2 linked regions of the Daphnia pulex genome follow. The protein of the gene in region 2 purifies or fractionates together with the protein of the main gene of each other region. This does not show direct contact. Links are inferred from orthologs where the notes say so. Each region holds a gene or a part of one and is shown on either strand. Other genes may lie near its edges.

Evidence for each region.
Region 1: the proteins of metal-response element-binding transcription factor 2-like (region 2) and polycomb protein eed-like purify together in Homo sapiens (affinity purification with mass spectrometry; 3 studies listed by BioGRID and IntAct, with this or other methods). This does not show direct contact. The link is inferred for Daphnia pulex from reciprocal best matches to the Homo sapiens genes MTF2 and EED.

Annotation. Positions count from the first base shown.
Region 1 is NC_060028.1:332,026-336,314, reverse strand, and holds polycomb protein eed-like, read left to right. Parts: upstream 1-1,488; 5' UTR 1,489-1,678; coding exon 1,679-1,747; intron 1,748-1,830; coding exon 1,831-1,973; intron 1,974-2,033; coding exon 2,034-2,205; intron 2,206-2,269; coding exon 2,270-2,405; intron 2,406-2,490; coding exon 2,491-2,894; intron 2,895-2,977; coding exon 2,978-3,133; intron 3,134-3,251; coding exon 3,252-3,452; 3' UTR 3,453-3,719; coding exon of another isoform or gene 3,720-3,735; 3' UTR 3,736-3,737; downstream 3,738-4,289. Other genes in the region: eukaryotic translation initiation factor 1A, Y-chromosomal-like, read left to right, coding at 3,720-3,735, 3,849-4,036, 4,104-4,289. UniProt on the Homo sapiens protein: Polycomb group (PcG) protein. Component of the PRC2/EED-EZH2 complex, which methylates 'Lys-9' and 'Lys-27' of histone H3, leading to transcriptional repression of the affected target gene.
Region 2 is NC_060025.1:2,645,844-2,650,099, forward strand, and holds the start of metal-response element-binding transcription factor 2-like, read right to left. Parts: upstream 2,806-4,256; 5' UTR 2,590-2,805; intron 2,488-2,589; 5' UTR 2,410-2,487; coding exon 2,386-2,409; intron 2,323-2,385; coding exon 2,200-2,322; intron 2,140-2,199; coding exon 1,936-2,139; intron 1,870-1,935; coding exon 1,684-1,869; intron 1,617-1,683; coding exon 1,444-1,616; intron 1,386-1,443; coding exon 1,181-1,385; intron 1,115-1,180; coding exon 1,047-1,114; intron 985-1,046; coding exon 829-984; intron 764-828; coding exon 1-763. UniProt on the Homo sapiens protein: Polycomb group (PcG) protein that specifically binds histone H3 trimethylated at 'Lys-36' (H3K36me3) and recruits the PRC2 complex, thus enhancing PRC2 H3K27me3 methylation activity.

The DNA.
Region 1 (4,289 bases), on a different chromosome or scaffold from region 2:
TAGGATACAATTAGGTTGATAATTTTACACCTAACCCCCCAAATCCAAAAGTGAATTAAAAAAAATGAAAAAAAAAAATTAAATAATGGATAATAATTTAGCTACATATTTTCGATATAACTGCCGGCTTTTTTTGGTATGTGTGGAAACACTCGGTGCGGCATTTGAGAAAGAATAGGCGACCAATCACATATTTGCTAATAACTTTACACAAAAAACTACAAAAAAATGATAGAGCTTCTTCTTCTGACGAACCCCATAATTTTCTTATTATAAATAGCGATCAAGTGTTTGTCCTTGGTGAAGCAAGAGGATGTGTATTTTCAAGTTCGTTTGAATGTCACGAGAGAGAGAAAAGAACTAGTGAGAATTTTTGCTGTGCAGCAGCAGAATGTTGTGTGTTGTGAACAAGGACCATCCGCCGTTTTCTCCGGTAAATAAACTGGAAAGGGCGGGGTCTCTAGTTGAGTTGGCGCTACGGACCAAGTACAAACCTGTTTTTTCGTCTTTTTTTTTTAGTTTTCACGTGAATTCTGACAGCCAAAGCAGCTGAATGAAATTCCTCTCCCTTTTTTTTTCTAGCTAAAATAATAATGATATATTGAATAAAAAAAGTCCTTAGAGAGAAAAATAAGATGGGATTAAAACAAACATTTAGACAACTCAAGTATAAAAAGCTAGATCAACAGGCTTTTTTGAAATATTATTAATTGTCGTCAATGTTTATTAATAACCACAGAAAATAAATTTCTCGTATGTGCTCTGTGTTTTATTATTTTTCTTTGGTGGAACAATAAAATTGAGAATTTCTTAATATTTTCATATGAAAAATTTTGAAAAAATCTGTTTGACATTTTTGACCTTGAAGAAAAATTAAAAAGACGGTCACGATGGACAAAAATTGGGCTTGCACGTTTTTCTATAAATATATAAGAAAAATAAAAAGCGGTTCTTCTTCTTGTTGTTTGTGGTTTCACCTCCCCTCCGGCAAGGTGGTTGCGTGTGCAAAATGCGGAATCCGCTAGGTGGCAGCACAAGATGTCGGAATTTTCTCTTGAAATTAATATAATTCTTTTTTTTTTTACTAAGAAAAAAGAACAGGAGATTCAGTTGTCAAGTGATGCACACTCATTTTTCTTCCAAGACATTGGGAAATCGCTGATGCGAAAATCTTTTCTGTTCCGCTACGTTCGATTTTTCCACGAAGTTTTACTATTTTTAGATTTTCACCCTCCACCGAAAACCCTTTTGGAAAGCGTAAAAAGTATTTCAACACTGGAAATATTTTGCCAGCCATCAATGACAAACTTTTAATAATAAAAATATCAAATATCGTCAAGCGCCAATAACGCACCAGCAAAAGTTTTCTAAAAAACAACGAAATGTTATTTGACCAAATCCTTTGTAACTCGAGTACCCGAGTATTTGTTCCGCTTGAAAGTTTTTTTTATCACGCACGTTCACGTTCGTTCATATTTTTTTAAAAAGAAAAAAGCGAAATTGCAAATAGTTCCGAAATTGGTCAGAAGAGGCTTCCATCGGCGGGAACGGCGTCGTCGGCTTTGTTTATGGATTCTTTTCGAAACTGCCAGAAATAAAACAAGCACATTTTTAGACAATAACCAAAGTTTGGATACTTGAAATCTGTTTTAACTATCTGTATTTGATCAAGTTAAATATGGCGTCAAAACGATCAGTCGAGCAAATGGATATCACTGAAACTGTGGAACTTTCAGGGGATGACATGGTAATCAGCTTGATACTGCTTTCTGTTTATAACTATAGAATTCTTGGGTTTAAAATGTTTTTTCTCGATTGGCACGTGAAAAGGAGGATACTGCTAGCAGTATTGGCAGTTCTTCAACTTTGGATACTGCCTCAAGGAGTGACACTCCAACTTTGAAACCCAAAAAACGGGGAAAGCCCGGCAGAAAGAAGGGCATCAAAATACCAAAAATCAACTACAAATTTGGGTAATTTGATTTTCGTGTTGTTGAATTCCTTTTAAATTGTATTAATGTTAATTTTTTTAGCTCCTTTATCAAAGAAGATCATGGCCAACCACTTTTCGGTGTCCAATTCAATCACTTGCTGAGGGATGGCCAACCTCTGGTTTTTGCAACTGTTGGCAGTCACAGGATATCAGTGTACGAGTGCCCAGATACTGGAGGGATCAAGCTTCTCCAGACGTACGCAGACCCTGATGTAACTATTTAATTATCTCATCCTGTATAACATCATTTTATCAATCACCATTTATCTAATACAGATAGAAGAAAACTTTTACACATGTGCATGGTCCTATGATGAAGAAACTGGCAAACCCATTCTGGCAGCTGCTGGATCCAGGGGAATTGTTCGCATAATTAGCCCAGCTACCATGAATAGCATCAAACATTACGTCGGTAAGCAGATGACGTTTATTGGAATAATGAAACTCTTTGTACTAAAATTGAGATAAAAATTTTATTTTGAAATAAAAATTAATAGGTCATGGACACGCCATCAACGAATTAAAGTTTCACCCGTCCGATCCCAATCTACTTCTGTCCGTTTCCAAGGATCACGCCCTTCGGCTCTGGAACATAAGAACCGATCAATGCATCGCAATTTTTGGCGGTGTCGAGGGCCATCGGGACGAAGTTCTCAGCGCCGATTTCGATCTGGAGGGTCGTCGGGTTATCTCGTGCGGAATGGATCACTCGCTGAAACTGTGGCGACTTGACACGGACGCCATTGAAAAAGCCATTGGCGATTCCTACACGTTTGCACCGAGCAAAAGTTCCAGGCCATTCGCTACCGTTCAAGAAAATTTCCCCAACTTTTCGACGCGTGACATTCACCGCAATTACGTCGACTGTGTCCGCTGGCTGGGCGATTTCGTGCTGTCAAAGGCATAAATTCTCAATTTTATTTCCTCTTTCGTACGTTCTCAAGCAATTAATGTTTTGTTTTATTTTATGTGTTAATCGTCTAGTCGTGTGAGAATACCATAGTTTGTTGGCGACCTGGCCGTTTGGCGAACAATGGCATACGAGTCATGAACAATAACGCCGTAACGGTACTACACCGATTCGACTATCGCGAATGTGACATCTGGTTCATGCGATTCTCACTGGATTCCTGGAACAAGGTGGGTCTTGATTTTTCAAAGAAATTTAAGCCAGATACCATCTGAACTTTGTAGTGCACCATGTGTTTATTTAAATTTATTTCAATTCTGTTAACTTTTATTGGTCGTTTGGAAACAGGTTATGGCGCTGGGCAATCAAGTTGGCAAGACTTTTGTGTGGGATCTCGACACTGACGACCCCATGGCATCTCGCCATTTAGTTTTGACACATCCCAAATGCATCTCGGCTATTCGTCAGACTGCGTTGAGCCGTAATGGCCATGTATTACTTTGCGTCTGTGATGACGCTACCGTCTGGCGTTGGGATCGTATTCTCTAATCATATATACATACATTCTTTTTCTTCTTCTTTTTTTTTCATTTTTAACAACCTGAATGTGTCAAAAATAAAAAAAAAAAGTAAAAATCACCATAAAAAGAAATTAATTCGATTTGATTAAAATGGCAACGTTGTTGACGTCCAGGGGCTAAACAGAAGTTGGTGTTTCTTTCCTTTCAGCACGTCCATTGAGAGTATCTGGCGTGGTGAGACATATGTGTGTGTTGAAATCTCAGCTTTTTATTAGTTTACTCAGAGAAATTCAACATGCCCAAGAATAAAGGTGAGTTTCAACCGTTCGTGCATCTCCCGAACAGTTTGTTTCAAGTGTTTGTCGTTTGTTTTAATTGATTTATAATTCGTACTTTCTCTTCCGATCCGATTCTGTCTTATTAGGTAAAGGAGGTAAAAATCGCAGGAGGGGAAAGAACGAGAACGAAGCTGAGAAAAGAGAATTGATCTTCAAAGAAGATGGCCAAGAATATGCACAAGTTACGAAAATGTTGGGTAATGGTCGACTTGAAGCTTTGTGCTTCGATGGAACCAAGAGGCTTTGCCACATCAGAGGGAAGCTCAGAAAGAAGGTCAGTCCCGATTGTTGTTGTGGCACTCTGAGTTGTCAATCATCTTTTTTTATTTTATTTTCGACAGGTCTGGATCAATCAGGGTGACATCATCCTGGTTGGCCTGAGAGATTACCAAGATGCCAAGGCTGACGTTATCCTCAAGTACAACGCTGATGAAGCCCGTAACTTGAAGACATATGGTGAAATCCCAGAAACAGTCAAGGTCACAGATACTGTCAACTTCGTCGACGACGGCCTGGATGATGACATC
Region 2 (4,256 bases):
CTGCGCGTGCCCTTTAGACAGTACCCTACGAGCGTGCACGGTGTACTTCTCACCCCGCGATACACGCTCTTCTATGCCAAAATAGCTTAGAATAGATTCTTTGGGAGTTGGTTGATAGGGATTGGTTTGGGGACTCGTGAATCGAAATGAAGTGTCTGCGCTAAATAGTGCACTAGCCAAATCTGGTTGAGAAGATCGCTTCCATTTCCGCACGAATCTCTTACGCTTGACTTCGCCAGTCTTGGTAATTCGAATATCCTTTTCACTTAAACGCGTCTTCAGTGGACGAACGAAGAGATAACCAGAGCTGCGCGGAAGATTCTGATTTTGGGTAGATAAATTGCAGAACGGATTGTTTAAGCCGTCAAAGTTTTGGGGCGGTGGTATGAACATGTCTAAAGTTCCCTTCGAAGACGTTTCGTCGCAACTGGTTTCTACCGGAGTGGTCAACGAAGCTGAAAAGGATGAGACACTGCTTGAATTCTCTTCTCCTCCGTTGGTCCGTTTACGCTTGTTGGTCTTTTTGCTCGATAAGACCATCAACTTGACTTCGTCAGAACTTATTTCACAGATGCTCTCCTCAGATGTTGCTCTTTGCTGGCGAACCCGCAAAGTACGGTGAAGTTCAGGATCAGACGGTCTTGCTCGCTTTTTGGAAGGTTTTTCTCGTTCTTCACTCATTGCTAGTGACGAATGAGCTCTCTTGTTTTTACGAAACCCTTCAGTCTGTTTCTTCATGACCGGTGGGGTCGGAGAAATTTTCCTGTACAACAATTTCGATTGATGACATTTTTAACTTTGAAAAGTTAATAAATAGCAAGTACTTACTCGACAACTGTGCCTTGGGGAATCGAATTGCGTTTTGTCCACAACTGTAGTGTGTGTCGGGACTGTGGGGCTAATACAGAAGGAAATGTAGAGGGCAATTGGAAACGCAATCCCCACATGGTCTTCTTCTTTTTCAATTCTCGTCCGCACATAAATCTGATAAGATAAAAGATGTTGAAGCAAAATTCTTCATAAAGTGTAAGCAAAACACATTTTACCGGTTTTTGAACTGCCAGAAAGCGGCCAGTATCCTGGTTCGTTTTTCAGTGTCTGTCAAATGTAATAGCTAGACGAGAAGAAAGAAACATTGAATTTTTGAATAACAGTCAACAACAGTAACGAAATATTGTACCTCGCCGGAAGGGTGGAAATATTTCCAGTTATTCTCTATGAACGGTAATATGCTCATATCTAGATCGTGGTATTTCTTTGTCGTTTCCAGAGTCAAATTGAAAAGTGCAATGTGAGCCATATCCGCTAGGGTTAGCTCTTCACTTAATCTCATGAGGCGTTCTTCGTTGCCATTGTTGCACACGGAGCACAAGAAAAGAAAAAACCTGAATAACTCAAAAGGTTAACTGATTTGTTCCTACAACATTTTAAGGAAATTTTTACCTGTCGCCGTATAACAAAGGTTGCTTTAAGATAGATATGCATTCACCGTGAAACCATTGCGAGCATCCACAACACTGCAGCATTCGTTTAAACCATTCACCCAACTGTCCACAATAGCAATACTTTTGCTCAGCATTTGTGAAATGGTTTGCATCCCACCTAAGATTCGCCAACTAGATGCGAGAAAGATGAAATGTTGCATTAAGAGTTATTCCACATTGTTGTTTTATACACCCTTACGTCGTACGGAAAGCTACGTCTTTTGCGGATCGTGTTGGAAGAACTGCTGTTGTTGTTGTTGACTTTACCCCGTATATCTGGTTGCGAGTTGGCAATCTTATTTTTTTCCCTAGCTTGCCTCTTTTCCATGCATCTCATGCAAAGCCAATCTGTTTCTCCATTGGCAAACTGGCTTGGTAATGCAGGCTTTTTTGGAAAAAAAGTCAAAGAAGGTTACTAAAATGCTCACACACTGATTACTAAAAATAATACCTCATGACAGCGTTGATGGTATCCTCTTCTGCAGCAGTGACACAATAATATTTTATTACTAGAAGTAGACTGTATACTCTTGCACAAAATGCATGAAATATCAGTTTCCTCTTGAATTTTAATTTTTCTTAGATCACAAAAGTGAGCCCATCTTTCAGTATCATCTCCAAACTGAATAAGACACTTTTCTTGAAATGTGAGAACCTGCAAGTATAAATTTATAATAATACTTTTCGGGGAAGTTGAATGCACTAGCAAAAATACCTGAACAATTGTGCCAAAAATGAAAAGTCCATCTTCATCATGAAGAAGTACATCTTCACCTTCAGTAAATGTTACACGATCAACGGTTGTAGAATCTGGTGCTACAGGAGATTCATCTTTGGTCTAAAAGAATAATTTCTTGTTATTAACCGTGCTAGCAATTTAGAAATTTTTAATGAAACATACCAAGGCTTTGTAAGAATGTGACATGTTGAGGCTGCAATCAGGTTTGTCGTTGGACTTCAACCACCTTATTCCCCTCACCTGTTGCTTAACTCTTTCTAGTCACTTGGCAAGAAGAAACATATTTGTCTTCAATTAATTAGTTTGGTCCAGAACACATCGAATGAATTAAATCTGAATTAGCATTCGAAAATCATTTAAATTTACACAATCGGTCTAAAGATCCATTCGTTATAAATATGAGGAGCACTCTTTGGTTATTTCAAATAGTGAAATCGTGAGATACTGATTAAACTACCAACGAACATTAACGATAACTTAACAGCGGTTGAAAACTTGAAACAGAAACGTCAAAGTTTGAAGGAATTTTATCGACAGTTACCACTAGACGCCATTTAACCTTGATTTTCAAGCCTAGCGGACGAATGAGAAACCGGTATTAGAGCGGGAAGCGAAAATTTGATTTCTGTCTGTTTTTGTCTGTTGTCTTTTCGTTTTTTTGTTGTTTTCAGTTTAATGAATTATTTATTTTTTCTTGATGATGTCCACATTAAATTTACTAAAGCAACTATAAAATCGTGGATTAGCTTTTCGCCAAAATGTAATTATCATCAAATCTAAAATAGCTTATATAGCTGATTCCGAATTTAAGATCATCTTTAATTCTCATAATATACTTCAAAAGTGAAGAAACGATGCCATTAGAGACAGCATTCGTTTCAAGAAATATAGTTAAATGGGCTAGCCGTTAAATGAATTTAGAAAATTAAATATTTCTGCATTTTAAACTTGATGAACAAATAACAAAAAAAGGCGGATTATGACGTATTATTTTGTTTATTCGACACACTGTACTATTTTGATCAAGGTTCACTCGAAGGATTTTTGTGCTAACATGTTCGATTGTGGTACCAACAATTAAATTAGATTAGGAAGCAAAATCCATTAAGCTCAACTGGTTCCATAACTAGTTTTTGCTGTGTAACCTTTTTCTCGACAATTTTCCGCTGTTTATTTTGAATGAACATCGGTGTTCGTCAAACGTAATAAGACATGTACTGCAGAGCATGTACTATAACTAGGGGCGACCGAAGAATATTCTTTTTAGAATGGGAAAATTCCACTGGTTTTCTGCAGGAGAACAATGATAGCAAATAGTTTCGGAAGTAGATTATGAAAAAAATCTAGATAATATTTAAAACAAATTAATTTAAACAATAAAAAAATTCCGGGAAAAGTTGCTTCAAACCCATTTTAAAAAGTTATCGAGTACGTCAAATATACTGGTGTTAGCCTCAACATCATTGATTAGACAACAATCAAAGCCAACAAGTACCGTTTACATTTCGCGGTATTTTTTTTATTCCATGAAATTTTTTGCTTTAGCCTTAACATCATTGACTAGACATTCTGACATTCAAAGCCAACAAGTAATTTAAAATAAAAAGTTATTGAGTACATGATAACTGAATACTTACCTACTGGCGTTAGCCTTAACATAATTGATTAGACATTCAAAGTCAACAAGTAGGCTACATCTTAAATTCCATTCACGGTAACATATTTCGAAATTCAGTTAACAAGGAATTAAGCGACGAAGTAGATGTCAAGGAAATCAAGCCGAGCTTAGGTTACGCCTTGTTTCATCTACCCTGGTCGAGTGCCTTCGGCAGCAATGGGAAACATGCCCATTTAATTATTGGCGACCAATATATCCTTGATCAATGCGATAATGATTTAATTCATGAAATATCAGTTGATAATCGAATGTGTTTTCATTTGCCGAACTCGAACAACATTTAGCATCGGGAAAAATCTTTAAAGAAACAACTGAATCACTGGCATATCACTGTTCAACATAGATTTTGATGCCA